Linked DNA regions of Elephas maximus indicus. The protein of the gene in region 3 interacts with the protein of the main gene of each other region in a biochemical or structural test. Links are inferred from orthologs where the notes say so. Each region holds a gene or a part of one and is shown on either strand. Other genes may lie near its edges. The genes, in order: CDK2, MAPK9, MAPT and tubulin alpha-4A chain.

The links.
Region 1: of the proteins of MAPT (region 3) and CDK2, one has a biochemical effect on the other in vitro, tested with the Homo sapiens proteins (2 studies listed by BioGRID). The link is inferred for Elephas maximus indicus from reciprocal best matches to the Homo sapiens genes MAPT and CDK2.
Region 2: of the proteins of MAPT (region 3) and MAPK9, one has a biochemical effect on the other in vitro, tested with the Homo sapiens proteins (2 studies listed by BioGRID). The link is inferred for Elephas maximus indicus from reciprocal best matches to the Homo sapiens genes MAPT and MAPK9.
Region 4: the proteins of MAPT (region 3) and tubulin alpha-4A chain are reported together in a solved structure, tested with the Homo sapiens proteins (2 studies listed by BioGRID, with this or other methods). The link is inferred for Elephas maximus indicus from reciprocal best matches to the Homo sapiens genes MAPT and TUBA4A.

The regions. Positions count from the first base shown.
Region 1 is NC_064822.1:115,940,240-115,948,212, forward strand, and holds the start of CDK2 (cyclin-dependent kinase 2), read left to right. Parts: upstream 1-4,968; 5' UTR 4,969-5,188; coding exon 5,189-5,304; intron 5,305-6,009; coding exon 6,010-6,087; intron 6,088-6,190; coding exon 6,191-6,311; intron 6,312-7,568; coding exon 7,569-7,739; intron 7,740-7,973. Other genes in the region: melanocyte protein PMEL, read right to left, coding at 1-98, 478-612, 792-938, 1,094-1,204, 4,140-4,215. UniProt on the Homo sapiens protein: Serine/threonine-protein kinase involved in the control of the cell cycle; essential for meiosis, but dispensable for mitosis. Phosphorylates CABLES1, CTNNB1, CDK2AP2, ERCC6, NBN, USP37, p53/TP53, NPM1, CDK7, RB1, BRCA2, MYC, NPAT, EZH2.
Region 2 is NC_064820.1:202,713,842-202,720,859, reverse strand, and holds the start of MAPK9 (mitogen-activated protein kinase 9), read left to right. Parts: upstream 1-4,008; 5' UTR 4,009-4,214; intron 4,215-7,018. UniProt on the Homo sapiens protein: Serine/threonine-protein kinase involved in various processes such as cell proliferation, differentiation, migration, transformation and programmed cell death.
Region 3 is NC_064837.1:52,645,728-52,653,450, forward strand, and holds the start of MAPT (microtubule-associated protein tau), read left to right. Parts: upstream 1-4,712; 5' UTR 4,713-4,835; intron 4,836-7,723. UniProt on the Homo sapiens protein: Promotes microtubule assembly and stability, and might be involved in the establishment and maintenance of neuronal polarity.
Region 4 is NC_064824.1:117,843,578-117,851,255, reverse strand, and holds the start of tubulin alpha-4A chain, read left to right. Parts: upstream 1-4,670; 5' UTR 4,671-4,750; coding exon 4,751-4,753; intron 4,754-6,478; coding exon 6,479-6,701; intron 6,702-7,008; coding exon 7,009-7,157; intron 7,158-7,399; coding exon 7,400-7,678. UniProt on the Homo sapiens protein: Tubulin is the major constituent of microtubules, a cylinder consisting of laterally associated linear protofilaments composed of alpha- and beta-tubulin heterodimers.

The DNA.
Region 1 (7,973 bases), on a different chromosome or scaffold from region 3:
GTAGACGGTCACTTCCATGGTATGTGTGCCCAGCACTGCCCTGCCTGTGCCAAGGCTCAGCCCAGACACTGGGCCCCCCAGAACTTGCCAGTATTGGCCTGAGGTTTTGGGGAGAAAAAGCAGGGATAGGAAAGGTTATTGGCCAGAGGAGAGTGAGGGGCAGAATTAGAGAAGGGACACTGGAGAAAGGAAGTCAGGAGGTGGGTTGAGGATGGTTACTTTAGAGGCTGTGATGTTGGGGACAAGGAAGAGGTCCTAAGGAGGGGTTCCATGGGGTGGTACTACAAATGGGGAAGGGCTCCCAGAAAGAACTATGATAGAGTTAGGGGGATAGATGCTAGGGAGGAGAAAGCAGCCAGGGAAGAAATAAAGCTTAGAGGAAACCAGAGGTTAAGGGGTGAGGTCAAAAATAAAGGCTATCAAGTAGGAAAAGGTGAATCCAAGATGGGAGACAGTCCAGAGAAGCGAGTCCCTCACCCCAGGTCTTCCAGACATAAACAAAGCTTCTCCTCTGAGACCATGGGCCAGATGGGCAGGGTCCACCATCAGGGAAGATGCAGGCATCATCAGGGTCCTGGGGATACACTGGTTGTCCTTCCCACACCTGGCTCCCTGAGAGGTAGAGACAGAGTAACCCTCAGACAATGGCATTCTTTTTTCTTTTTGGTTTATCTGTGTTTTCTAGTTCTACTATGGTACACATGTATTATACATATAATTCTCTGAGTTCACTGGGGATTCCAGGGAATGTGAACCCTAGAAATGAGGGCCTGAAATAGAGAGGTACTCACCATTGATGGTGGCATTGTTGGCCCAGATGACCTGGCCATCCAGCAGCACTCTTTGGCTTTCAGGGAAGTGCAGAGCAATAGAGAAGGAGGCATTTGCCCCAATCAGAGTGGGCCCATCATTACTGACCTTCAGGGACACCTGGCCACCTGAGTAGGGAGGCTCCATTAGCTGGGACTCTCAGCTGCCCCTCCCTGTACACCTTTCCCCTTCCTACCTTCCCAAGCTATATTCAATCCAGTTCTTGCTTCTCTTCCCATCCCACTCCCGCAATGCCCTCCCCACACAACTGCCAAATTCCTACCTCTCCAGCAGTCAGACCCCCGGACTTCTGTCCACTCTGGATATAGTTGTCTGTTCCAGGCTTTGTTTCTGACCTGCCTTGAGATACCAGGCCAGTCCTGGTCTCTGGGTCCTAAAAGGAGTGTACCATTAAGGATACCAGGTCCTCACTCAGCCCCCTCGCAGAGGATAACATTCTATCCCATGTCACTCCACTCATTCTCAAAAAGTGCATTTTAATTTACCGGGTACCTGCCATGTACCAGGCACTGTGCTAGGCAAAGAGAACTTAACAAATGAATAAGACTTGAGGCTGCAGCTTAATGAGGGAGGCACTGAAGGGATTTAAGGTGAAGTACAGGAAATAGACATATACGTAAATAGCTATATAATTCAAGGCACTGTTTAATATGTACCATAACAAACACCCATAAAATAGAATGAAATGACAGATAAACAGATTAATCTCCCTCTGGCAGATTTGGAAAGGCTTCAATGAGGAGTTGGCATTTGGGCTGTGGGATAGAGCATTCCAGCAGAAGGACCAGCAATGCGTAAACGCATGAAGGCATGGAAGCACATGGCATGTTAGGGGAACAGCAATGTGGCTGATGCACCACTGTGAGAGATGAGGTTAGAAGCCTGGTTGGGGGCTTAAGTGCCAGGCTAAGAACTTTGGTCTTTAACGTGTGGGCAAGATCACCTCAGAAGGCATTTCTTGTCTGTTTGTTTTTAATTGAGATATAATTCATCCATATGCTGTCATGGATTGAATTGTGTCCCCAAAAAATATGTGCCAACTTGGTTAGGCCATGGTTCCCAGTATTGTGTGGTTGTCCTCCATTTTGTGATTGTAATTTTATGTTGAGAGGATTAGGTGGGATTGTAACAGTATCCTTACTCAGGTCACCTCCCTGATCCAAGGTAAAGGGAGTTTCCCTCAGGTGTGGACTGCCCCACCTTTTATCTCTCAAGAGATAAAAGGGAAGGGAAGCAAGCAGAGAGTTGGGGACCTCATACCACCAAGAAAGCAGCACCAGGAGCAGAGCGTGTCCTGTCCTTTGGACACTGGGTCCCTGAGCCTGAGGAGCTCCTCCACCAGGTGAAGTTTGAGGACAAGGACCTTCCTCCAGAGCCCACAGAGAAAGCCTTCCTGTGGAGCCGATGCCCTGAATTTGGACTTGTAACCTACTAGACTGTGAGAAAATAAATTTCTCTTTGTTAAAGCCATCCACTTGTGGTCTTTCTGCTATGGCAGCACTAGATGACTAAGACATATGACATAAAAAATTCACCCTTCAGAAGGTTTTTGAACATGATCAGATTTGTGTTTTAAAGATCACTCTAGCAAGCAGTGAGCAGGATAAATCAGAATCAGGGGGAGGTTAGGGGTGGGGACAGAGCAGACAGAAAATTATTTTAACTGATCAAGAGAGAGGTCGGAAAAAAAAGGATCTAATGACCTCCACATGCCCTCACCCAGATCCAACAACCATCAACAGTTTGCTACATCTGATTTTTGCTTGTGTGCTTTTTTTGGCTAAAGTATTTAAAAGTAAATCCCAGGCATCTTGTTATTTTAAACCTACAGACTCAGTATGTACCTGTAAAAAATAACGAATGTTTTCTTGCATAAGCGTGATAACTAAATGAAATGATCAAGTGCAGTCCATATAAAATTGTCATGAATATTTTTAAAATGCCATTTTCTCATTTTTTAAATCAGAATCTGAAAAGTAAGCACAATCTTTTAAGAGCCTCAGGTGGGTGAGTATGAACAGAATGTTCCAAGAAAAGGATACATTGGAGAACATAATAAAAGAAAAGGACGTGGAGACTGTAGCACACATGAGGGAGGTCAGATGAAAGAGAACCTCCCAGAAGTGTATGAGCCTAGGGATCTAGAGAGAGAAATGGGGGCTGAAACATAATGTATACATTTCAGCATGGCAGAAACTATTCCCACCCCTTTTCTGCTGTGTACTGGAAACCTAGTTGATTCTTCTGGGAGAGGATCCAAAATTATCACATTGAACATCCCACCGCTACAGCAAGAGTCATGAGATGCCCCATTCTTTCTCCATTCCTAACCCTCTCTCCTTAGGGCAGCATGGGACATTCCAGACCCTCTCACCACATCTAACCCCACCCCTTGCTCCTGTCACGAGGCTTCAATCCTGGGAGAGCCCTTTCATGTGATGCTCAGCTGAGACCCCTCTGCCTGTCTCTCCCTGCCCCAGAACAAAAGGCCTGGACCGTGTTCACCCACTCCCATCCCAAGGGGGGAAGGTGATGCCACCTTAGCCTTCTTATCCAATACCACATTCTCTTACTCCCCACTTTAAATCTCCCGCCTCAAGTGCCTGAGACATTACCTAGAAGGTTCTCCCACCCATTTCACCCCCTTGGAGCTCTAGCTCATTGTCTGGGGGCCTCAGATCTAGGGCCACAAAGACCCACTATCTTTTGCCCAGCAAGCAGACGGGGTTGTTTTCAAGCTCAATCTCAAACCTCCATGTGGGGAAGGAGCTCAGGTGCCCATGTTCTCTCACTTAATCAGGTGGGTGGGAGAAACCTGAAGCAGTGCCCGGAAGAGCTGGTCTCTCCCATTAAAAAAAAAAAAAAAAGTTTTATTCGAGTCGATGCCATGTGTTACAGAGTAAGGAGCCCTGGTGGCACAGTGGTTAAAGCACTTGGCTACTAACCGAAAGGTCAGTAGTTCCAAGACACTAGCCACTCTGTGGGAGAAAGATGTGGCAGTCTGCTTCCCTAAAGATTTATAGCCTTGGAAACCCTATGAGGCGGTTGTATTCTGTCCTTGCAGGTTCACTATGAGTTGGGTTTAATAAATTAATTAATTTATTTTGGGAGAGGAGTTACAGAGTAGAAGTGCTCAATAAGATTTTCTTGGCTGCAATCTTTACAGAAACAACTTGCCAGATCTTTCTTCCGTGGCATCACTGGGTGGGTTCAAAACCACCAACTACCAATTACACATGGCAAAAAACCAGAGTAGGTGTCCATCCCTAAATTCACACCCGCCCATGTTGATGCTGCCCCACGCTCACCTTCTGTGGCCCCCACAGCCAGCAGAGCACCCATCACAGCCACATGGAGAAGGCATCTCTTGGGCACCAGATACATCCTGTCCTTCTCTCCAGCATTCCAAAGTGCCAGGGGGCTGAGGCAATCCCTTTATAAGAAAGGGGTGCTTATTTGCATAGCCCTTCCTCCTCTCAGCCGGGGAGGGACGAGGGAACTAGGGAGAGGCTGCATTGACTCGGGTTTCTGGCCCCTGGACACTCCCTTCCCATCTCCATATCCAATGAGTTTCTCCTTTCACTAGGTCTCTCTCATCTTGACACACTCCATCCCCCCCACCCCAGTTGACTGAAAGGCAGCTACATAAAAAATACCGAGCACACACAATTCATCATGGAAGAGTGAATTAATCAGTTGTTTGAGTCAAACCAGGAACCTCCTAAAAAGACAGAAAGAGACTTCGCATCCAAACACAGAGAGAGACAGTATCGGGGTAGGCTGAGGGCAGGAATTCCTTAGAATGACGGTGAGATTCCCAGCTTTCTGATTTTCCAAGGTAGCTCCTTGGGCCAAGTGGAATTTAATCTTAGGTCGAAATACATTATCCCCAGGGGTGATTAAGGAATCCCCACAGACTTGGGAAACAGGCAGAAAACTCGAGGCCAAATCAGGTACTTGGAAAAACGCCATCGGCAGCCCAAACAAGCCAGAAACTTAACGCCCTCGGAGTCGAACTTGCGAGGGGTGGGGTCACTTGCGGCCACGGGCTCCGGGCGCTCGGCTAGTCACCCCCGCTCTGACGTCCGCCAATAGGAAGGGCCGGGGGCGGAGCCAGTGAAACGCGGGAAGGAGGGGCGGGGCCTCTGGTGGCGGTCGGGAACTGGGGCGACGGCAACATTGTTTCAAGTTGGACAAATTGACAAGAGCTGGAGATACACTGCGTTCCATCCCGACCTGGGGCCGCGGTGCCCGGCGGTGTCTCTTCCTCTTCCGCCCTCCAGAGCCGGGGCCCGCCTTTTGCAGGGTTCCCAGGCCCCCGCTCCAAGGCCGGGCTGACCCGACTCTCTAGCGCTTCATGGAGAACTTCCAAAAGGTGGAAAAGATCGGCGAGGGCACGTACGGAGTTGTGTACAAAGCCAAAAACAAGGTGACGGGAGAAGTGGTGGCGCTTAAGAAAATCCGTTTGGACACGTGAGTGGCTTCTGTACCTGGGACTCCTAACTGAGGAGCTCTTTTGAGTGCCCCCCTCCGCAGGCGGGCAGTGGTCCAGAGACCGGAAGGTAGTAAGAAGGGACTTTTTTTGAAGTGGGAAGGTGGGTTGGGGGACCGACTAAAGAATTTCCCCAGGGAAAGTATAGTGTGCGTTAGAATCCACGGAAAACTTCCCCTCCAAACTGAGCCGGGTGATGCCCCCAAACGTGCAATGTGACAGACTCAAGATGAGGAAGGAGGCCTTGGGGCTGGGGTCCAGAACTCCCCTTAGAGTTGGTTTTCGGAAACTAGTGAAGAGCACCTTTCTGAATGAAGGGCCTTCCTCTCTGCCCCAACCCCACCCTCATCTTAGAATTCTTTACCTATTTCAAAGGAATGGCAGTTGAACTTCACTGGCCCCTCTGGGGAGGCTGGGTGCTACTCCCTCATTTTTTCTGTTACCTTCTCTCTGCTTCACCTTCACCAGGTGGCCTCACTTAAATACCTTTGGAAAAGAGGAAATGATAACCTTAATGTGTCCAAAAGCTAATCCCTGCTCCACCCAGGAATTAACTCCTTCAGCACTCTTTCTATTTTCTCACTGTCCTTGGGTCGTGCTTCCTTTGGGGGAAAGAAACGACTGGCCTGGGAGAAAAGGAGTATTTGTAACCAAATTCCCATCTCTGCTCTCCCAACCCCTCCAAGTGAAACAGAGGGTGTACCCAGTACTGCCATCCGAGAGATCTCTCTGCTTAAGGAGCTTAACCACCCTAATATTGTCAAGTAAGTATACCTGGGAAGTGGTCTGATAGCAAAGGGGTATGAGTTCTGTCTGTGTAGTCTGAGCATTTCTCTCTCACCTCCACTCCGGACCTCCCTTCCCTAGGCTGCTGGATGTCATCCACACAGAAAACAAACTCTACCTGGTTTTTGAGTTTCTGCACCAGGATCTCAAGAAATTCATGGATGCCTCTGCTCTCACTGGCATACCTCTTCCCCTCATCAAGGTAACACTTCTCATCAACTCCTCCCCAGGATGATCATGTCTTGGGGGGACCAGAGGTAGGCAATTCAGACTGAGTGATGATTTGTGATCTTGGTTCCCTTCCCAGCCCTCATCTTTCCCCCTACACACACACACCCACATACACACACCTTTTGTGGTTCTTTCTCTGCTCGTTATGTTCACTAACCCTAGGACTGGGCAGGAGAATCAAGCCCAAGTCCAGTGCTGTCCAGTCGATTCCGACTCATAGCGACCCTACAGGACAGAGTAGAACTGCCCAATAGAGTTTCCAAGGAGCGCCTGGCAGATTCCAACTGCCGAACCTTTGGTTAGCACCTGTAGCACTTAACCACTACACCACCAGGGTTTCCAGGAGGATCAAAGAAGTTAAAATTCTAGTGAGTCAACTTAGCAGCACAGGTGGGAGGTCAGAGGAAACTCTGGATGAATGAAATTTGAGGGCATTTGTCGGTTCCTTCAAAAAGCCTTTCCACCTGTTGCTTGGTGGGAGTAGTAGCCAGTGAGTCTGTTGTCTGTTTTAAGGCTGGATTCTTTACTCCTTGAGTAACTTTTAATCTTTTTACAAATGTTTATTCAATGTACTGAGTCCTTGGGTGCCACTGTATAGAGTTTGGCTACTTACGAAAAGGTTGGTGATTAGAATCACCCAAGACGTGCCTCAGAAGAAAGGCCTGGCAATCTACTTGCAAAAGATCATAGCCCTTGAAAACCCTATGTACAGTTCTACTCTGAAACACATGTGGTTGCCATGAGCTGGTATTGACTTCATGGCAACTGGTTTGGTTTTTGGTTTTATTCAATGCATATTTATTGAATGCCTTCAATGCAAAACTGAATAAAGCCTGGTCTTTATCTTCACTGGGCTTACACTCCAATGGGAGAAATAGTTTGCTACATGTAATTCTAACCCAAAGGTCCCTGGGTGGTGCAAATATTTGCACTCAGCTGGGAACCAAAAGGTTGGTGGTTCGAACCTACCCAGTGGCACCGAGAAATGGCCTAATGATCTGCTTCTATAAATGTTACAGCCAAGAAAACCCTATGGAGCAGTTCTACTCTGTAATAGATGGAGTCTCTCCAGAGTCAAAAACCAACAACACAACAAAAACAAAATCAACAAAAACATGTAATTCTAATCCAATAGAGTAAGAGCTTTGGGGGCACAGAGCCCTAATCTGCTCCCTGTGTTGGAGAAACTCAGTCCTCTCTCTCTCTCTCTCTCTCTCCCCTTTGTCAGAGCTATCTGTTCCAGCTGCTCCAGGGGCTAGCTTTCTGCCATTCTCATCGAGTTCTGCACCGAGACCTCAAACCACAGAATCTGCTTATCAACGCAGAGGGGGCCATCAAGTTAGCAGACTTTGGACTAGCCAGAGCGTTTGGAGTCCCTGTTCGTACTTACACCCATGAGGTGAGTCCCTCTATGCTTTTCTCTGAGCTCTGCAGAGGTGATAACAAGTGCATTCACAAAATTACTAAAAATATCTGGCCAGCTGTTTCTCTGTCTTAGTAGGTGGAAAGAATCTCTGATACCCTAAGAGATCTTAGAGAATGCACAGAATTCACTTGTGGGGCTTGTGGGGCCACCTGAGCTTAGATAATGCCAAATCAGGATAGCTGAATAACGGGACACCTTTAAAATCAT
Region 2 (7,018 bases), on a different chromosome or scaffold from region 3:
AAAACAGTGTTTCTGGGATAAATAGGAGGCTTAGAGAAAACTCAGTGTGACTATGTGTGCAGTGATTTTTTAGTTTCTTTGTTTTTTAATTTTATTGTGCTTTAGGTGAAAGTTTACAGCTCAATTGTTTCCCAATCAAAAACTTATACACATATTGTTGTGACATCAGTTGCAATCCCAGCAATGTGACAGCACTCTCCCTCTTTCCACCCTGGGTTCCCCATGTCCATTAGTCCAGTTTTCCTGCTCCTTCCTACCTTCTCGTCTTGCTTTTGGGGAGGAGTTGCCCATTTGGTCTCTATTATGGATTAAATTGTGTCCCCCCAAAATTTGTGTCAACTTGGCTAGGCCATGATTCCCAGTATTGTGTGCTTGTTCACCATTTTGTCATCTGATGTGATTTTCCTTTGTGTTGTAAATCCTACCTCCATGATGTTAATAAGGCAGGATTAGAGGCAGTCATGTTAATAAGGCAGAACTCAATCTACAAGATTAGGTTGTATCTTGAGTCAATCTTTTTTGGGGTCTAAAAGAGAGAATCAGATCGGGAGGGGGGCCCTCATACCACCAAGAAAGCAGCACCTGGAGTGGAGCACATCCTTTGGACCCAGGGTTCCTGCCTGGAGAAGCTCCTGGACCAAGGGAAGATTGATGACAAGGGCGTCCCTCCAGCCCTGAGGAAGACTAAAAGCCTTCCCCTGGAGCTGGCACTCTGAATTAAGGCTTCAAGCCTACTAGACTGTAAGAGAATAAACTTGTTTGCTAAAGCCATCCACTTGAGGTATTTCTACTATAGCAGCACTACATAACTAAGTCTCATATATTTAATTGAACTAAGAAACACGTTCCTCACGTGTGTTGTTTTATAGACCTGTCTAATGGCTGAAAAGCGGGCTTTGGGAGTGCCTTCAGTTCTGAGTTAGCAGGGTGTCCAGGACCATAGTCTCAGCGGTTCCTCCAGTCTCTGTCAAGCCAGTAAATCTGGTTTTTTTTTGTGAATTTGAACTCTGTTCTACATTTTTCTCCCCCTCTGTCTGGGGCTCTCTATCGTGATACCTGTCAGAATTGGTCTGTGGTGGTAGCAGGACACCATCTAGGTCTTCTGGGCTCAGGCTAGTGATGGCTGTGGTTCATGTGGTCCTTTAGTCCTTTGGGCAAATTATTTTCCTTGTGTCTTTGGTTTTCTTCATTCTCCTTTGCTACGGACAGGATGAGACCAATAGATGTATCATAGATACATCTACTTGCAAGCTTTTAAGACCCCAGATGCTATACACGAAAGTAGGATGTAGAACATTTTCTTTACGAACTGTATTATGCCAACTGACCCAGGTGTCCCCCAAGACTCTGGTCCCCAGCCCTCAGCCCCAGCAACTCAGTCCTCAAGGTGTTTGGATGTATCTAGGAAACTTCTACGACTTTGCCTTGGTCAAGTTGTGCTGACTTCCCCTATATTGTGTGTTGTCTTTCCCTTCACCAGAGCTGACACTTTTCTACTATATAGTGATTTGTCCTCCTCATCCCTCCCCTCCCTCGTAACCATCAAAGAATGTTTTTTTCTGTGTGTAAACCTTTTCTTGAGTTTTTATAACAGTGATCGTGTACAGTATTTTGTCTTTGTGTTTGACTTATTTCACTCAGCATACCCTCCAGATTCATCCACGTCATGAGATGTTTCACAGATTCATCATTGTTCTTTATCATTGCGTAGTATTCCATTGTGTGTATGTACCATAATTTGTGTATCCATTCATCTACTGATGGGCACTTAAGCTGTTTCCATCCTTTTGCCATTGTGAATAGTGTTGTGATGAACATGGGTGTGCATACGTCTACTCATGTGACAGCTCTTATTTCTTTTTTTTTTTTTTTAATACTCCTAGGAATGGAATTGCTGAATTGTATGGTATTTCTAGCTTTTTAAGAAGGCACTACATCGTTTTCCATAGTAGTTGTGCCACTTTACATTCCCACCCACAGTGCGTAAGAGTTCTAATCTCCTCGAAAGGTCTCCAACATTTATTTATTTTAACAATGAGATGGTATCTCATTGTAGTTTTGCTATGCTGGTTACTCACTTTGCATAGGGTAAAGGGTGCATTTTAAAGGTGGATGTTGTAAAATCGGGCACAGTATGTGTCTGGGAATTGGTGCTCCCTTCCTAATCTGACCAGAAGGTTCCACAAATGCTCCTTGGTAGAATTACAACTGACAGCCAGGCTTTTACTAGTTTCCCCAAATCCCTGATGGTGGCATTTTTCATTCTCTGTTTTCTGGAGTGCAAATGAAGTCAGGGTGCCCGAAGCAGGTGGTAGGCGTCAATGAAGTATCAGCAGGAACCCATTAGGTGGGCCCTCCATTGAAGGCCACACTCAAGAGCTATAGTTAGTTTTAGAAACCTCCCTTTGGTGGCCATAGTGGGGGGGGAGGGTGGCCTAATGGGGACACCATGACTCGATCCCTTCCTCTACCCCACCCCTCCTCTGAGACCCTAGTGGTGCCACCAGCCTTGCTCGGCACTCGGGTCCCCTTGATACCTAGTCAGTCTTGCTGCCTTCCCCAAGTTCTGCCACCCATGCCTCTCAGTCCCTTGACCACCCATCTACGGGGTCCTGCTTCTTCTTCCTACCTTATCCCTTACCCCTAGTCACTCCATGGACCCTGGCATCCTAGGACTGTTGCTCCTTCTCCAAGGTCACCATTTGCCAAGCACCATCTCCTACTCTTCCCATCCCCAAAGTCTAACTCCCCCCACTCACACCCCATCCATTGGCCTCAAGCTTTCTCTAAACGCATTCAGCGTCCTTGCTTCACTTCCGTCTTTACTTAGCCACAGCACCAGATAAACTCTCATCTTCTAAGACACTAAGCCGGCAGTTACCTGACCCGAGGGCCTTGAGGGCTGCAGGAGAAGCCCCAAAAGCTCAGTGTCAACAGACCCCAGTCACTAGCGGGCCCTCAGCACTCTCGTTGTGTACCCTCCAGCCAATTCCGACTCATAGCGACCCCCTAGGACAGAACCCCATAAGGCTTTCTAGGCTGTATCTTTACATGAACAGATATTCAGGTCTTTTCTCCCGCGGAGCAGCTGGTGGGTTGGAACCGTCTACCTTTTGGTTAGCAGCCAAGCGCTTTGACCATTGCGCCACCAGCACTAACACCCTCCATTTACGGTTTTGCCCTTCTCCTCTAAGACCGAGGGATTGGACCCCGTTCGTTTCAGCCCTGCCACCAGACGCACCAGTCCATCCTCTCCTTCCCTCAGTCGCTGATCAACTGGGAGAGATTGTCTACACAGAAGCTCTCCATCTCCTCGGGCCTCCCCTGCAACAACTGGATTCTGACCGCATCCCCGAAAAGCCCCTTCACTGAGGCGCGCAGCTCCCCCAGCTGCAGTGAGCAGCGTAGTCGAAAGGCCCTGCGCCTCTCCTCCCACTTCCCCCAGGGCCGTTTCACGCCGATTCCCGGGCGACCCGGCCCCAGCCTCCCCTCGCCTTCGCCCGGGTTCTCCCCGAAACGGGCCGGCTCTCAGTCCACCTCCGGGACGCCTGGTCCCTGCGAGCCTGAACCCGCAGCCCCGAGGCTGGCTCCTGCTCGGCCCCACTGCGGTGAGGCGCCCCAGCCAGGTCCGCCTCCGGCCCGGATCTCGGTTTTGTCTACCCTCTCCGCCGCCTCCCGGGTCCGCGTCCGGTCGTCGTGCCGAGCCCTTCTTGCCGGGCTTGGGGGGCGGGCCGAGTCATGCTTGCGCCTCCAGCCCATGGTACGCACTAGGCAGGTCTGTATGCGGCGGCTGCGTGGCCCGAGCAAGCGCACGGTCTCAGAGACGCTGAGCCCCGCCATACCCCAACCGAGACCTCAGGCAACCGACCCGGCCGCAGGCTCCGCCTGCCGCCCCACCTGCCGCCTCGCCAGCACCGCCCAGCAGCGGGTGGGCCTCCTGGCGCAATTGGCCGCGTCGGCCCGGCTTTCCGCGAGCTGATTGGTTGGCCCTCCGGTCAGTCAGGAAAGGCGCCGCGGCGGCGGCGGCTGCGGAGGGAACCCGACCGGAAGGGTCGAAGCGCCCCGGAGCCCCTCACACCCACTGCGGCGGCTGGGCGTAGCGGGGCGGGGCGGCCGGCCGAGCCCGGGGGCAGCGGATCCGGGAACTGCCAGCGCGCAGCGCTGCCAGTCTGCCCGCCCGCCCTCTCCCCTTGGCGCGGCGGCGGGGAGGCGAGGTGAGCGCGGCGGGTGGCGAGAAGGCTAGGCCCGGCGGGGGCTGCTTGGTCCGGACCCCTCCGGCAAGGGGCGGCGGGAGGGCTAGCGGCCGGGCTTTGCGGAGTGGGCGCAGGGCTGCCGGATGCAGGCCGCGGGGTGGGCCAGGGCCTGCGGGGAGCTGGCGGTCCGGGCCGCCGCCCCTGCCCTAGAGGCTGCCGCAATCGCCCCCTTCCTCCCAGCTGTTAGCAGTCCCGGGTGTTGGCAGGCTTCCGGGCCTGGCCCCGACAGACCTGCCCGGGGGTGAGGAGTTGTGGGGGGTGGGGGCGCAGGAAGGGGTCTGCGGGTGCCACCCCTCCTGACTCCGGGGCGCGCAGCTGCACACACACCGGTGCTGCGATGCTCAGGAGCTCCGGGTCTGGTCCCTGCGACCTTGGCCAAGGCACTGACCCTCACCATGCCTCAGTTTACCCATCGGGAAAAGGACGAATTGTCAACACTTTTGTACAGAGTGGTTGTCAGGTTTGTGGCGGTGTGTGAAAGTGCGTGAGCCTTGTACACATTTGTGGGAAATCGGGCAGGATGGTGCCCCTTGCAGGTGTGAGTGGCAGGACAATCCCATCCCTCCCAGCCTCCAGCCCTTGCACTCTTCCAGTGCCTTGTTATTGCACACTCAATGCCCCTGGCAGCGCCTGAGCGGCCCTGCCCACCTCCTCTCCCGTCCCTTCCATCCATAGCAGTGTGCTCCTATCCCACTCACCTCACCTGCCTTGAAAATTCCAAGCCTCATACACCTCAAGACCTTTGCAATTGCTGTTTCTTGTGTTTGGAGTTGTCTTCTGGATCTTTACACAGCTGACTCCTTGGTGTTCGTTTCTCTGGACATCTCTGGTCGTATGTTTTCTGTGAGGCCTTCCTTGACCACCCTCTTTCTTTCTTTAGTCATTCTGTCTCCTTTGTTTAATTTTATTCCCAGTGGTATATTCTGGCTTGAAACTGTTCTGTTTGTCTGCCTGTTTATTTTCTGTTTCTCCTGCTAGGATGTAAGCACTAGGAAAACAGGTAGTTGTCTGATTTGCTCACTGCTTTATCCCAACTGCTTAGAAAGCACACAGTAAGTACTTAGTAATATCAGTTGAATGAATGAATGGATGCTTTAAGGAATGACCCTGCCTCCCTATTGCCTCTGGTTTATCTTTTAATTTAGTGACTTCTGATTAACTTGTGAGACCTATAAGCAGATGGAAGCTTGTTCTCATTTTGTGAAACGTTTTAATGTTCTTGACCTCTTTATTTGGTAACTGTCGGAACAAGCTGTCGATATGAAAGCATGTGATATTTTAGCTCCATCTTCCTTCCATTCAGTAGACATTTATGGAGTTCTAGATTATCTAGGTCAGGTTTTGTGCTAGGCCTTGGGGACACAAATGAGATGGCGACAGGGTCCCTTCCCCCAGAGAGCCCAGCAGGGAAAGCAGACATGCAGACAGTTTGTCCCAGGACAGCATGATGACTGCTATAGTGGAGGAGGCAACAGGTGGTGTTGGGGTTGGGCCTTGAAGGATGCTGAGAAGTTTGCCAGGCAAGGAGAGGCACGGAAGTATGACGAGGTTGGGGGTCAGGCTTTAGCCCAGTATGGAGCTGGAAGTCCGCCACAAGGCCAGGTGTAAGAGAGCACGGAGTGGTGGGGGCCCTGGACTACCAGAACCCCACCCAGCAATTTTTTAAAAGAAGCTAGAATTCCAGATTTTTGTGTTTACTCTCCTGGTTTTGTAAATATCTCCCAAACTTAAACCTACTGCCATCGAGTTGATTCCGACTCAGTGATTCCATAGGGTTTCCAAGGCTGTAAATCCCTATGGAAGCAGACTGCTACATCTTTTCTCTCATAGAGCCACTGGTGGTTTTGAACAGCTGAACTTTTTGGTTAGCAGTCAATTGCTTTAACCACTGCGCCACCAGGGCTCTTTTGTGTAAATGCTGACAGTAGTTAATTAATTACACACACTAAAAACAAGCAAGCAAACCAAAAACTGCTATGAGCCAAGCAAAATATAATAAGCCTCATTCAGCTTGGCTATAGGATTGTCATGCTCCAGGACAGGCTGTGTAGGAGGAAGTTGCTGTGATTCACTGGAAAGGTAGCCTAAGGCCAGGTACCAGCCCAGGTACTCCCACTTAATTGTTAGGAGCCCTTGAGTAACAGCTATGAAACCCATTTTTACAGACGAGGAAACTGAGGCTTATAGAGTTTGAGCAGTCTGCTTCAGATGAGCAGCTGGTAAGTGAAATTTGAACCCAGGTCTCCCCCAGATCCAGTGTTCTTTCCTGGGTCCTTCAGCTCTGAGCACACTCTTTTGGCCTTTGTTATTCTGTAAGAACAAAATCCAATCTAGATGATGTTTTCCTCTATCCATTTTGTTTGTTTCCTTCAAAAGGATCTCGAGGGGTTAAAAATAATTGTATTTTGGCAGTCTTCTCTGGAGAGCTTTGATATGCCTGAGAATTTTATTTTTAAGGTGCCATGACTTTAAATAATTTGTTGACAGATTAAAAGGTGTTTGTTTGGTTCCCTAAATAAATGTTAGAGGGTACACTTAAATTTCATATTTTTCTCTTTAAAATAAAGTCATCTTAATTATCTGGTTAAAGAAAAGTTTTGATGCAGCAAATACTGTGAGTAAGTACATTCTCAAACCAACTGTTTTCGTGATGAATATGGTAAAACAGAAAGCACTTTTTTTTCTTTTAACTCTATTGATTTGGTGGTAAAACCCAAAAAACCAAACCCATTGCCATCGAGTCGATTCTGACCCATAGCAGCCAT
Region 3 (7,723 bases):
AACCTAAGGGTTCTAAGGTTGAGGGTCCACGAACTTAGAGAGGAAAACACTCATCTTTATCTTTACAACCTCTATTAGAATTTAGTATTTCAGTGATGAATGTAATAGTAACAGTACATACCTGTGACTTTGTCATCAATACATATTTTCATATCATAGTACATGTGTTACAGATATCTCAAAATATCAGCTATGATTCCTGCCACTTTGAAAGTAAAAACGTTATTAACCCGCTTTTAGATTTTGTTATTTAATGCATTAATGAAAGAGCAGTCTGGGTTCTCTGGGAAGCAGATTTTGGGACAGAGTTTAGCTTGTAGGATATTTATTAGGGAGTGCCCTTGGGATCAATACACGTGGAGGGGGAAAAAAGGCAGAATTGGGAAGAAGGAGAAGTCAAGCTGGACTCAGGCCCAACAGCAGCCTCTGTTGACCCCACAGGATTCTCTGGAGCCAAAATGGGCCATCAGAGTTGTCCCATATTAAGCCTGTATAACCCCACCAGGTCAGTCACTAGATGTGGGGTACTCTGCAGCTGAGGCAATTTTTGAAGGCTATGACAGCTGAAGGCACAACCAGGAGCTGGGGCAAAAAGTCCTTCCTTAAAGGGGCCTCTAGGTGGTATATCTTCATATCTATCACAGCCCACCCCTTGCACTGCTCAGATCCACTTTTGCATACACATTCAGGAATCAGATTTTTCAGGATTTCAGTGGGCCTCTCTTCTTGGGGGAACCTTAGAAGAGGACAATTTGTTCTCCTTATTAACCTTTGACCCCCACAGCTGTAACAGGTCTTGGGACCATCACTGATACTCATCATCTCTCTCCCCTATTATCCATTCCAGGTTCTTCTCACCCTCAGCTTTCACCTCTACTGGTCTAAGGGCTTACCTGACAGCATGACCCAGGCCATCTTCTCTGGGGGATCTCAGTTCTGGTTATGATCACCATGTCCTTCTGTGGTAGGCAGAATAATGCCCTCCCCACCAAGATGTCCACACATCCCAATCCGTGGAACCTATGCATATGCTATTTTACATGGCAAACGGACTTTGCCAAAGTGATTAAATTCAGGATCTTGAGATGGAGTGATTACCCTGGATTATCCAGGTGGGTCCAATGTAATCACGAGAGTCCCTATGGGTGAAAGGAGAGAAGAGAGTCCAAGAAAGAGATTTGAGGACAGAAGCTGAGGTCTGAATAATTCGATTGCTGGCTGGAAGCCGCACACCAAGGAATACAGGTAGCCCCTAGAGGCTGGAAAAGGCAAGGACATGGATTCTCCCCTGGAGCCTCTAGAAAGAATAAAGTTCTGTCAACATGCCATGTTTTAGTCCCATAAGACTCATTTTGGACCTCTGGTCTCCAGAACTGTACATTTGCATTGTTTTAAGCCATAAAGTTTGTGGTAATTTTTCATATCAGTGATAAAACTAATATACATTCTCAGGCTAGGATTGACGTACCTGTCCCTTAACAATCCCAGTTGATTTTAGCCCAGTGATATCTGTTACCTGAGTGAGCCATTACATTCTGGAGTCTATTTGTTACAATAGCTTAGTTTACTGTGACTAATGTAGTATGCGATTAGATCTGATGGCAGAGTTTCCTAATTCTACAGGTATCTGTATCTCAGATCTAACCCCACCTAGGACACCATTACATAAAACACTGAAGCCCAGAAAAGTTAATGAATTTGTCGAAGGTCAGACAAAATGGCTAAGATTAGGATCCAACTCTCCTGAGACCTAATCCAGTTCTCTTTCCTCTACGCCATTCTGCCTTCCATGGCTCTCTATATGCGGGCAGGGTGTGCTCCATGTGGCCAGGAGATTTCTATTTCAGCAAGGGAGAGGGTTGAGAGTATGGATGCGTTTTCTTGGCCTGAATTAGTGAAGCATTAGCTACCAACAGTGATTAAATTATCTGCAAGCAACACTCAACTCCACATTACAAACAGATGACAGATCTGCTTAAGATTGTTTCTAGCATCCATTATCTCAATTTAGTATTAGGCAAATGTGATCATTCAGTATCAGGGGACCACAATGTCACAGGTCTCTGTCAGTTTTCAATTATACTAAATTTTAGAGGAAAGAAAATGAGAAATTTGAATGGGGAGGAATATTTGGCTGCTACCATTTATTTTACGTAAAGAAATGAAGTAATGTGTAGCAAAAGCATTGATAATGATGATGAAATAATAACTACTATTTATCATTTAATGAAAGCCCACAAGAAACAAGATATCTATAATTATCTCATTTAATCCCTGAGTTGGTCAGCTTTGCTGGTGTAATAAACAAACCTAAAAATCAAGCTTCAAACTGGTTCATTCCAGTTTGAACCCCTGCTGAAAATTTGCATTTCTAACAAGTTCCCAGGCAATGCTAATGTTGCTGGTTAGGGACTGATTCTGAGAACCACTAGTAGAGCAGTGGTTCTCAAAATTTATTATACGTAAGAATCACCCAGGGATCTTGTTAAATGCAGATTCTGATTCAGTATATCTGGGGTGGAAATGTAAATTCTCAGCAGGGGTTTGAACTGGAACAAACTGGTTTGAAGACCTGCCTAAAATCTCAGCAGCTTACACAACAAATGTTTATTTCTTGTTCATGTAATACGCGCTTTCTGGCGTGTTTTCATTCTGGAACCTAGGCTGAAGAAGTAATCCTAAGGGTTCATGCCACTGTAGTGACGGAGGGGATAAGTATATATCATGTGTATCTCACATCTACTAGTTGTAGTTGCCGAAGACCACCTCGGGGCCAAGCCAAGTATCAACAGAGGAGCTGAGAGCTGGGGCAAGGCAGATCATGCAGTCATGGCTGGGGATGTATAACCCCTACAAAAGAAGAAACAATTGGGGACAATAATAAAATCTTAATCTGATAGATATTAGTCACCCCCCTTTACCCCTCCTGACACTTCCAGAGAGATGAGTAACTCTGATAAACTCCTTCCAGAAGCTGGAACTATCCCCTCCAGTTGGGGTCATTAGGGATGGATTTAGTAAACTATGAGCTAGGGTTTGAAGGACATGTTATGAGGAGGGACCAGTCCCTGGAGAAGGACATCATGCTTGGTAGAGGGTCAGCAAAAAAGAGGCAGACCCTCAAAGAGATGGATTGACACAGTGGTTGCAACAATGGGCTCAAAAATAGCAAGGATTGCGAAGATGGCGCAGGGTCAGGCAGTTTCGTCCTGTTGTACATAGGGTTCCTGTGAGTTGGAACTGACTCAATGGCACCTAACAACAACAACAAATTGTATGTCCAGAACAGCTCGGATGGTGGGAGAACAGCAATAACGTCACTTACAAAGACTTATGGAATTAGCCTCTTGTACCTATCATCATCCCCCATTGCTGCCAATAATATGTTAATCAAACCTATGGAGCCCCTGGGTGCTGCCAAAGGTTACTGCTCAGCTGCTAACTGAATGTTGGAGGTTAGAGTCCACGGAAGAAAGGCCTGGTGATTTACTTCTGAAAAATAAGCTATTGAAAACCCTGAGGACCACAGTTCTATTCTAACAAACACGGAGTTGCCATGAGTAAGAATCGACTCGACAGCAACTGGAAAAATTAAATCCGAGTTAATAAAGCATTTTCAGTGACTTGCTTTTTATATTAATCTATGATACACATTTTTTTTTTTTTTAAAGAATGTAAGCTATGCAAATAAAGTTTCAAGATAAGTTCCCACCCCCCTAGGAGGAGATGGCTGTCCCTGACCCCCTACATAGAAAGTCTCTCACTGCCAGGGCTTAATTACATTTTAGGGGATAAGGAATCCAAGTAAGGTCAGAGGCTAGGGCCTGGGGCCTGGGTTACCGGGAGAATGTGTGTATCCAGGTGAGAATCTCCAACAGGTACTTAGAAATTCAGATCTCAACTCTACTTACAGTACACGGGTGTTTCAACAAATAAAAAAAGGCTCTGCAATGTTATAAGCACCATTCGAATGTCGTCTAAATTAAGATTTTTTTCTAGGGTCAATTTATACACAATAAATTCATTATTTAAAAAAAAAAAAACTGTAATGCTGAATTAGCCAGTAAGATTTGTTAAGGGAAAATATTCACTTGGTCAATAAGAAAAAAGGTGGAAAGCAAGCAGAGAGGAAACGGGCCCAGGGAAACTGAGCTCCGACAAGGGGATCATTTCGGGAGACCCCGGGAAGAAGGGTCGGGATCACCAGGTCAGGGACAAGTAGGGCGAGCCTGGAGGAAGCCTTGGAGAGGGGTCCGGAGTGGACTCAATGGGGAGCCAGCCATGGGGACATCCACTGAGATGGGACACCGCCCCGGGATGACGGGAAGAAAGGCGGCAGTAGGTCTGGGCCCGCAGCAGCCCGCCTTGCAGCGACCGAAAAGGGTCGCCGAGCCTCCTGCCCGAGGGACGAGACCCGTCAGAAAAGACAAAGGCTCCAGCGGCGGGAGGCCGGGAGTGCGCGTGCGCCACCGAGCGCGCGTGCGCGTGGCTGTCAGTGCCGCGGCCCTAGGCATGCCGACGGCGAGGACCGGGGAAGGAAGCCGCCTAAGGATTGAGCAAGGAGGCCGGGAAAGACCGAGCGGTGGGGCGCTGGCGCGCGCCCGCTAGTGGCCGGAGGAAAAGACGCCGGCAGAGGCCTAGCTGCCCGCCCCTCCCCTGGGGAAGCTCGCGTTCCCGCTGCTCGCGCCTGCGCTGCCCGCCGGCCTCGGGAGCGCGCCCTCTCGCCGGCGCGCGCGCGCACTCGCAGTCACCGCCACCCACTGACTCCCGCACCAGCAGCACCACCACAGCCACCTTCTCCTTCTCTCCGGTCCTCGACCTCTGTCGACCAGCAGGTAAGCGCCGAGGCTCCGAAATCTGCCTACCCCTCGGCCCCGCAGCATCCCCCCGCGGCCGCCCCTCGCCCTCCGCTGCAGAGATGGGCTTCGTGCACTGGGCACCAGTGGTTGACAGAGGTGGGGCCCCTCCCTGAGCCCTCTGCGCTCTGGAGCTGGGGCTAGGGCGGCTTGGAAAGGAACTCGTGCAAAGGATGCACGCGCGCGTGTGACTGCGTGTGTGTGTGTGTGTGTGCGCTGAGGAGGGAGGGGTCCGCACGTCCGGCTTCACGCGGGCGGGGGCCGAGGCTGTGCCCGCAGGGTGGGGCGCGGATGGCGGTGGCCTGGGGAGGGGGCTGCTCTACACTCTTGAACGCCACCTTTTGCCGCAATGGGCGTATGTCTGTGTATGTGGAGGTGGGGATCCAATGACGACCCCCGAAACCGAACCTGTAATCTGATTTCTCTGCTCCCGTTTGCCAGCAGCCCTAAGGAAGGTACAGGTCTGGTTCTAGAAAAGATGACTCCCTGACTACCCCTCCCTGCGTCTCCCCAGAAGCGATTCCAATGGGGTTTCTCTGCCCCTGATTTAAGGCGGAGGCCCGCCCCCTCCCCCTTTTCTTCCTTCAGAAACCGCAGGGGACATTTGGGGGCTGGGAGTGGAATCGGAGAGATGGGGAGGGGTCCAGGAGCTGTCACTTTAGCTGCCCTTCCCCCTGTGCACTCCTGGCACCGACACAAGAGCAGCTTCGCGGATCTCAGTGTGGAGGCTCGGAAAGGCAGGGGTCACCCGGCTTTGCGATTGGACAAACTCGGCGGCCTCGGGTCCCTGCTCCTGGGCGCGCGCAGCCGCGGGCGCGCACAGCCGCAGCCGCGCGCAGCCGGGCGCGGGGGCTGCAGGTGCATTTCGGGGCGGGCCCCTTTCTCTGCGCTCTGCGCGGGGCGGCTGGCGTGTGCGCTCCCTGCCGGAGGCGCTGGGCTGGCGCGCAGGGTTCGCCCCTCACTGCGGCAGAGGGTGTGGATCCGGGTGGGAGAGGAGGAGGAGGGTGGGTTGTGCCTCCTCCTACCCACCCCCCGCTTTTTTCCCCTCAGAACGCGAGGTGCCATCTTTTTGCGGCGTACCACGTACGGTACCAAGCCAGGCTGGGTGGCTGGGCCTCGGAGGAGCAGGGCGGAGACTGCTATTTAAAGGGGGGGCAGGCAGTCGGCGCTGACATTTTGGCATTTATCCGCTGCGGGCGTGAGCACTGGGGGCGATCACCCAGGACCTTTCTCGGGGTCTCGCTGCTTTGTTTGGAGGGATTACGTGATCTGCGCTCCCAGCCCTGGATTTTAGACTTTTAGTTTATGGGGGGTGTTTCGCCAAGTCCCCTGGCCTCCCTGCCTCTTTTTTTTTCGCCCCTGCATTTCAGAGCCATTTGTTGAATCTCGGTGTCTGCCGGGATCGGTGAACCCGAGTCACAGCCTCAGGGGCACGCATGAAACGGGCATGTCCTCGCGCGGCCCCCTCCCGGAGCCCAGCCAAGCCCCAGAGGCATCCGCTGAGCTGAGGAGGTGGAATTCGAGGTGTTGGCGCACCCCGCCAGTGGCCACAGGGGGACCACGCTCCCCAGACCCGGAGCGTCCCGGGGCTCGCTCCCCAAAAGGCTGCACAGTGAGAGGTGCGGGCGACCCCATCCCCCGGGATGCAGGGGCTCGCAGGCAGGGGCTGTCTCCACTCTACTCCCTGTTGCTTCTCCCGGAGCAGATGTGTGTGGGGGGGGGAGCTTGAGGTTCTCTGGGGTGCTGCGGCCACATCCATCTTTTCCGAGTGGACTGTGGGGAGCTACGTGGGGGTTGCCATGGAAACCACACGCGACCCGGGAAGGGGCCATGGGGCGTTCTCCGCCCCTTACCCGCGAAGATTGAGGATCTGGGGAGGCCGGGGCCACGCCCCCCATCCCTTTGATGGCGCGGTGGGGTCCACGGCTCTTCCTTATTGGCCACTGGCGGCCTCAGCCACCCAGAGAGGCGTCCCTGTAGTCTTTTTATTATTATTATGGCCGTTCTGGTGACTATCGTTTTAGAAACGTGCGGGATTTTCGCATAAAAGCCCTGGTTCACTGGTGCCCTTGAAACCAGGGACGGGGGACCCCTTGCGAGCAAGTCCCAGCCTCGCCCTCGTAGTGATTACACGTGCGATGAGGCGGGCCTGCCCGGTTTCTGGTTGGTTCTGTCTCTGCAAACTGGCCTGGGGCACAGATCGAAGTAGATGGCCGAATCGTCCGCTGTGGCCGCCCAGATTGACCTGAATTCCCGGGGAATGGCTTGGATCGGAGTCCAGAGCCCACTGGGGTCAGACCGCCCCTCTGCTGCGAGGCCTCCCCGCAGAGCTGGGCCCTCGGCGGGCTGATCGAAGAGCGGCTCCAGGACCCCGGCTAGGCAGCTCTGGGGGCGGAATTCTCGTGCAGACAGAGCAAGGGTCCTGCCGCGGCCCTGGGAAAGGGGATCCGCGGCCACGGCTCCCCGTGGCGACTCGCAGACAGAGAGATGCCACCTCCTGCCTGTTGGGGGAAAAGGAACTGGCGGGGAGTAGCGCACTTAGCCCAATGCCGGGAACAAAGCGCGGTCCACGCGTCTGAGATTTCGCTCCATTATGAAATGTGTTGGTTTGATGAAGCACTCCAGCCGGCAAGGCCCGGGGGCTGCTCATGGAGGAATCTTAGGGGCCAGAGTGTGGTCCTTCGGCCGGCGATTTGTAGCGCGTTAACGAACGGCCTCACCGGGGCATCTCGAGGGATGCAGCGTTTAAACGGACGCTGAAACGCTGGGCCGGTTGCTGCGCCTCCGGAAACGTCCGGGCACGGATACAAGGGCCACCACCTCCCCGCCCCCGACCCCTAGTAGGCGGGGCTTCTCTCTTGTTCAGC
Region 4 (7,678 bases), on a different chromosome or scaffold from region 3:
TGGGATGTTGGTATACGCTAGGCAGAGGTGCCTGTGTGACTAATCAAGTCACTTCTGACCCATGGCAACCCCATGTGTGTAAGAGTGGGAACTGTGCTACATAGGGTTTTCAATTGCTGATTTTTGGGGGAGTAGACTGCCAGGAACCTCTGGTGGGTTTGAACCCCTAACCTTTTGGTTAGCAGCCAAGTGCATTAATCATTTGCACCACCCAGACACTCCCCTACGTGACTGTTGTTAGGCGCCGTCAATTTCAACTCATTGCAGTCCCATGTGGCAGAGTAGAGCCACCCCATACAGTTTTCTAGGCTGTAATCTTTACAGGAGCAGAGTGCCTTTGTCCTGCGGAGCCACTGGATGGGTTCCAACCACCAACCTTTTGGTTAGCAGCCGAGTGCTTAACCTCTGTGGACTAGTCCCCAATAAAAACCACGGGCACTGAGTCTCTAATGGGTTTTTCTGGGCAGAAACATTGCAGGAAAATATGGCATTTTCGTTGCTGGAGGAAGAGTGCACTCGTGTGAGCCCTATGAGAGGGAGAGAGCACAGATTCCCTCCAGATTCCTTCTGCGTCTTTCCCCTTTATGATCCAGTTGTATGTCCTTACCACATCACTGCAGCAAACTTTAGCTGTGGGTACAATGGTACCCTGAGTCGGTGATTCCTTCCAGGGAATCTCCAAACATCGAGATAGTCTTGGGGTGCCTGACAGAGTAATAGTTTCTGCTTTTTTAATAGCCTAAATACTATGGAGGTTAATGGTGGGAGGGCCAAACAAAACATTTCAGAGAGGAAATTTGGCCTCCAGGCCACCAGTTTGCAATTTCCAAATTTTTAGAGTTCTACCCTAATTTTAAGGAGTGCTGGTGGCACAGTGGTTAAGCACTCAGCTGCTAATCAAAAGGTCGGTGGTTTGAACTCACCAGCCACTCTGCAGGAGGAAGATGTGGTAGTTGGCTTCCATAAAGATTACAGCCTCAGAAGCCCTTGTGGGGTAGCTCTACTCTGTCCTATAGGGTCACTATGAGTCAGAATTGACTTAATGGAAATGGGGTTTTTTGAACCCTAATTTTAAGGAGCCCTGGTGGTACAGTGGTTAAGCACTAGGGTGCTAAATAAAAGGTCGGTTGTTCAAATCCACCAGCTGCTGTAAAGATTAGAGCCTTAGAAACCCTCTAGGAGCAGTTCTACTCTGTCCTGTAGAGTTGCTATGAGTTGGAATGCGCTCAAAGGCAATGGGTTTGGTTTTTGGATTTTACCCTAATTTTAGTCCCATCCCTGGCATTGCAACAGTTAAGCAGTAGGCCACTAACTGTAAGGTAGGTGATTTGAACCCTCACAGTGGCTCTGTGGGAGAAAGACCTGGCAATCTGCTTCCATAAGAATTACAGCCAAGAAAATCCTATGGGGCAGTTCTACTCTGTCGCATGGGGTCGCTATGAGTCAGAATTGACTCGATGGTGCCCAACAACAACAACCATGTAGTAAAACTATTCATGTGACATACACTTAGCAAAGACCTACGATGTACTAAGCATCATACTAGGAACTGGGAACACAAAGATGAATAAGACCCTTATCCAGTGCTTTGCAGTGTACTTAGAAAAAATCCAAACCAGTTGCCATTACTGTAGTTCCAACTCATGGTGACTATGCTCCATGGGGTTTTTCAATGGCTGATTTTTCAGATGTATATCTCCAGGCCTTTCTTCCGAGGTGTCTCTGGGTGAACTTGAACCTCCAACCTTTTGGTTAGCAGCAGAGTGCGTTAAATGCTTGCACCACCCAGGGACACAGTATACTTATACCTCCCTAAAGTTTACACTAAACTTTATAGTGTTGCTATGAGTTGGAACTGACTTGATGACAATGCGCTGAGTTAACTAAATAGGTCTACTTTAGAGGAGAGGAGCCCTGGGTGCACAATGGTGAAGCACTTGATTGCTAACTGAAAGGTCATTCTGCAGCAGTAAAGATTACAGCCTAGAAAACCCTATGGGCAGTTCTACTTTGTCACTTTATGTCAAAAATTGACTTGATGGCACCGAACAACAACAAAGTTTACACCTCCCTAAATTCATCTGGCCCTCACAACCCAAAGTTGTTATTCCAGTTTTACAAATGAAGAACCTGAAGGTAAAAGAGATCTAGGGTTTTGTCTAAGACAGCTCAGGTCTGTTACTACCTTCATTCTGCTAGAGGTGGGGGTATAGGGGGAACAAGAGGTGGGGGTATGGGGGGAATAAGGGGGCACAAGGAAGACCTGCAAGAGGCTATGTGTCCTGTGGTCACCAAGGGCTCCTTCCTCTGTAGAGACCCATGACCTTATTTCCCAAATGGGCCTTGTCAGTTTTCTTCTTATGAATGAGTCTTGTCCTCTCAACCAATTGGCAAGTTTATTGGGAACAGAGACCTCATCATATTTTACTGTATCCCTTTCCAGCTATTTTGTTGATAGCAAGTTGCCACCACTAGTTATTGTATCATATTGTGTTATACTGTACTGGCCCAGGGGACATTTGATGGTGTGAATCCTCCCCAAGTGGTGACTAACCCAGGAGACAGAGTTATTAAAGAAGTGCCAAGGAGCACGTGGTTTAAAGTCAGGAGAAGTGTGCGTCAGGGTTGTATCTTTTCACCATACCTATTCAATCTGTATGCTGAACAAATAATCCGAGAAGCTGGACTATATGAAGAAGAACGGGGCATCAGGATTGGAGAAAGACTAATAACCTGTGTTACACAGATGACACACCTTGCTGGCTGAAAGTGAAGAGGAATTGAAGCACTTACTGATGAAGGTCAAAGACCACAGCTTTCAGTATGGATTATAACTCAACATAAAGAAAACAAAAATCCTCACAACTGGACCAATAAGCAACATCATGATAAACGGAGAAAAGATTCATCTTACTTGGATCCACAATCAACAGTCATGGAAGCAGCAGTCAAGAAATCAAAAGATGCATTGCATTGGAAAATCAGATGCAAAAGACCTCTTTAAAGTGTTGAAAAGCAAAGATGTCACCTTGAGGACTAAGATGAGCCTGACCCAAGCCACGGAGTTTTCAATCACTTCATATGCATGCAAAAGCTGGACAATGAATAAGGAAGACTGAAGAGGAATTGACACCTTTGAATTGTGGTGTTGGCGAAGAATATTGACTATACCATGGGCTGCCAAAAGAATGAACAAATCTGTCTTGGAAGAAGTACAAGAATCCTCCTTAGAAGCAAGGATGGCGAGACTACGTCTCACATACTTTGTACATGTTAACAGAAGGGATTAGTCCCTGCAGAAGATCATCATGCTTGGTAACAATAGAGGGTCAGCGAAAAAGAGGAAGACCCTCAGCTAGATGGATTGACATAATGGCTGCAACAATGGGACTCAAGCATAGCAACAACTGTGAGCATAGCAACAATTGCAGAACCGGGCAGTGTCTCACTCTGTTGTGCACAGGGTCCCTATGAGTTGGAACAGACTCGATGGCACCTAACAACAACAACGAGGAGCACATGGAAGAGCTGCCTGGCCAATTTCCCCAGCGGAGGGAGACAGAAAATGTAAAGCAACCAAGGGAACGGAGAAATAGCTTGAAAAAGTCTGTTTTTGCAAGAAACGGAAATGAAATGTAGAAAGATGTTATGGCTTCTGTCTCACCGATGAGGACGTTAAGCTGCTGGCTCAGGTCATGTCAGCGACGTAGAGACAGAAGAGGATGGGAAAGTAAAAATCAGCCATGACACCAGAATCTCCATTTTCTTTTTCCCTCTTCAGAGTCACCGAGCCTTCTGATACCTCACAACAATGCCTCCAGGGCAGAATGATTTTCTTCTATTTATCAATGTAGATGCCAAGGATGCAGTGAGGTGTCATCTGCCCAAGGCCCCACAGGGCAGTGTGGATGCGAATCCAGGTCCTGAGGGTTCCAGGTTCTGCGCTCTGGCGGCAGGAAGGTGGGCAGGCAGCGATGGCCTTAGCTAACTAATAGTGACGGCGTTGATGACGGCCCCTGACGGGGCGGGAGGCCGGCGACCCGCTCAGATTCCCGGGGTCAGCCCTGGCAGGTAGGCGGGGGGGGGGGGGGCTCGGCTCTGCCGGAGAGACTAAGGGACCAGCACCATGGGGCTCAGGCTGTGCAGCTCCCAGGCCTCGACAGCTCACGGGCGTCAGCGAAGGCCAGGGGTACCGGCTGGGGACCAGCAGGCGGCGTGACGCTGGAAGGGGGCTCCCAGGGCCGGGCCGGAGCTGGGCAGCTTGCCCGAGCTGCCCCGGAGGCGGGGCGGGGAAGGTTTGGACGAAGGACGGCTGCAGCCACGTCGGGAGGACGGCCTTGACGCCATCCGGCCTAAGTCTGCACACCTGGGCGACCGGCGCCCCCATAACGCGGGTGCAGGCGAGAGGAGCCCTGGCACCGCGCCCTGCGTCCCTGCCACGGAGCTCGGGGGCCCCGAGTGTTAGCTCAAAACCGGAAGCGCAGGGTTAAAGCCACGGCGTCTATTCCTAGCCCAAGTCCTGCAGGTGAGGGACTCGACGCAGCTGGGGAGGGATCCCGCCCGGCCTCACCCCTCGCGGCCGCCCACCCCTCGGAGGGGGCGTGGCTCTGGGCCACCCAGCCCCCGGCGGGCGGGTCGAGCGCGCGGGCCCTGCCCCCGCCTATAAGAGCGGTGCGGCACTGCAGCTAACGCAGTTCTCACCGAGACCCGTCACCCCGACTCTACGTGAGACGCACCGCCCGGACTCACCATGGTGAGTGCGGCCCTGCAGGCAGCGCGGGGGTCCCCGGTTTCCCCTCTCCTTCGGGGGACCCCCCTGCTCCCGGGACCTTCCAGCGGGCGTTCCAGGTCTCGAGAAAGTGCGAGGATTTTTGCATCCCCCTAACCCCTGCCTGGTGACTTTGGCGGAACCGTGGCGTCCACCTTGGGAACCTGGGAATGGGTAATCGGGTAGGGTGGCATTCTTCATTAACAGAGAGGAGCCCTCCTGGCCACCTGCCCCTGCCCCACCAAGCACTTGTGCCCTAACCTTCCTGCGGGTAGTCACGCGGGCCCGTGCAAGGTCTGGGAAAGACCCGCTTGGCTGCCCAGCACCCCATTCTCCCACCCCCGCTCCTGGAACAGACTGAACACGTGCTTGGCCCAAGTAGGTGGAAGGAGGTCAGATTACTTGGTTCCGCGCCCCCTTTTCCTCTGATTGTGTGTGCATCCCCCCTATCTACCGTGCCCCCCAGTGACTCAGCACCCCACTTCTGAGCCTAGAGGGGTGGCGGGAATGGGCTTCGGCTTCGGGAGCGGAGCTAGCCTCTCCAGCCGAAGCCCGGTGCGCCGACGGGCAGAGACAGCTGGCGCTGAACGAGAGCGCGGCCGGGGCCAGGCGGGGGGAGGGGAAAGAGGTCTGTGGGTGTGTGTGTGGGGGGGTGGTATTTATAGCCCAGGAGCGGAGGCCGAAATTAAACCCCAGGTCTGGGAAGTAACTGGAAAGAATCTAGAGGGAGGGCAGATGCAGGGCCGGGGAGCAGGATGGAGCTCGCCCCCCGGGGCAAAGTCGGTTACCTCTGGGGCCTTACCGCAGGTTCTGCTTCCTTTTCTGGGTATTGGGTAACCGTCACCCCGCCATTTCGGGGTTGGAAAGGGAGGTTACGCGGGCCCTGCGCGGATCACGTACTGCTCTGGCGCTTCAGAGATTAACCAGACTGACAGGGATGGAGCCTAAGGCAACGAGTGTCCCTGTGTCCCTAGCCCCTATTGCCCGCCCTGCCCTCTGTGCCCACTAGTTTTATTGTTGCTATTTCTGTGTGGGCTGACGCGGTGGATGAAGGTGGTGAAGAAGCCCAGAGTGCGGGGATGGAGGTGGGGAGAGGAGCCAGATGGGTTGATCCCCAGAGCCAGATGGGACTTAAAGGTGGGGGAAGGGGATATCCATTATGGTCAGTTGATGCCAACTGGAAGCTGAAGACACCTCTGCAGCCCACAGTAAAGAAGAGGGGAGAGGACTGTATGAAATTCGAGTTGTTCATCCTCAAAGGAAAGAATTAATCAGGTGGGGGGCCTCTAGCTATAAACTCAGCTCCGGTGAACCTTCTGCGCCTTTGCAGGCTCTTGCGAAGCTGGCGTTTTGGGCAGTAGGGATCAGGCTGAGAAGTCTCATGTCTCGGTTACTGCAATGTATGCCTTGCCCTCTGCGTCCTCCCTGAGTGTCCTGTGAATGTGGCGGGGTCATGTAGAGCCAAAGCTCTTGCTTGACAAGTTCCCCACTGAGAAGGAGGCAAAGGGGCTGGCCTGCCCTTCTGGGTGCCTTCAGTGCAGGAGACTTAAGGTGGGGGAGCCTGGACGGGCTGCCAGCCTCTTCTGACCATTGCCCAGCCCAAAGCCCCCACTCTTGCCAACTAAGTCATCCTAGCTGGTAGGAGGGAGGCTTATGAGGTGAGGAATTGTGGGTGTGGGACTTATGTTGTGTCCCCTCTTTATCCCTCAGCGTGAATGCATCTCAGTCCATGTGGGGCAGGCAGGTGTCCAGATGGGCAATGCCTGCTGGGAGCTCTACTGTCTAGAACATGGGATTCAGCCTGATGGCCAGATGCCTAGTGACAAGACCATTGGTGGAGGGGATGACTCCTTCACTACCTTCTTCTGTGAAACCGGCGCTGGAAAACATGTGCCCCGGGCAGTTTTTGTTGATTTGGAGCCCACTGTAATTGGTGAGAGGAAGAGGGGCAGGAATGGGGGGGGGGTGGAGGAATTTGAGGGTGGCTCTGACCTTCTCTCTGAAAAGAGGGTGTCTAGACCTGGCTTTCGTAGCCCTCTTTGAAGCTGAAAAAGGCAAGCTGATCTCAGGCTGGCTTGGGCAGCAGGTCTGGGTTCCTCTCCCGCTCTGCTATCTCAAGTCTGGCAGAAGGACAAGTTCTTTCATACATCCGACCACAGCTACCATGCTGCAGGAGGGAGGTCTCTGCTGAGCACAGCCTTATGGTTTTTGCCCTAACCATGTGGTTTATGCCCTTCCAGATGAGATCCGAAATGGCCCATACCGACAGCTCTTCCATCCAGAGCAGCTCATCACTGGGAAAGAAGATGCCGCTAACAACTATGCCCGTGGTCACTATACCATTGGCAAGGAGATCATCGACCCGGTGCTGGACCGGATCCGCAAGCTGGTAAGAATCTGGGAGGGAGGGAGCTTCTGAGACTATGTGAATGGTCAGGAACACTGTTTTCAGATCCATTTCAGGAGGTCAGCTCTTAATTGTGCATATCCTAGGGCATGACACTGCAGCTGTGGGATGCTCAGTAGTCTTGGCCTTGACTCTTGAAATATGTTAGGCTTTTGTGAAGCCCAAAGAGTTCCTCAGACCCCTCCCTGGTACCTACATTGCTCTTTCTCATTCTTGTCTTTCAGTCTGACCAATGCACAGGACTTCAGGGCTTCCTGGTGTTCCACAGCTTTGGAGGGGGTACCGGCTCCGGCTTCACCTCGCTGCTGATGGAGCGGCTCTCTGTTGACTATGGCAAGAAGTCCAAGCTGGAGTTCTCCATCTACCCGGCCCCTCAGGTGTCCACAGCCGTGGTCGAGCCCTACAACTCCATCCTGACCACCCACACCACCCTGGAGCACTCAGATTGTGCCTTCATGGTGGACAACGAGGCCATCTATGACATCTGCCGCCGCAACCTGGAC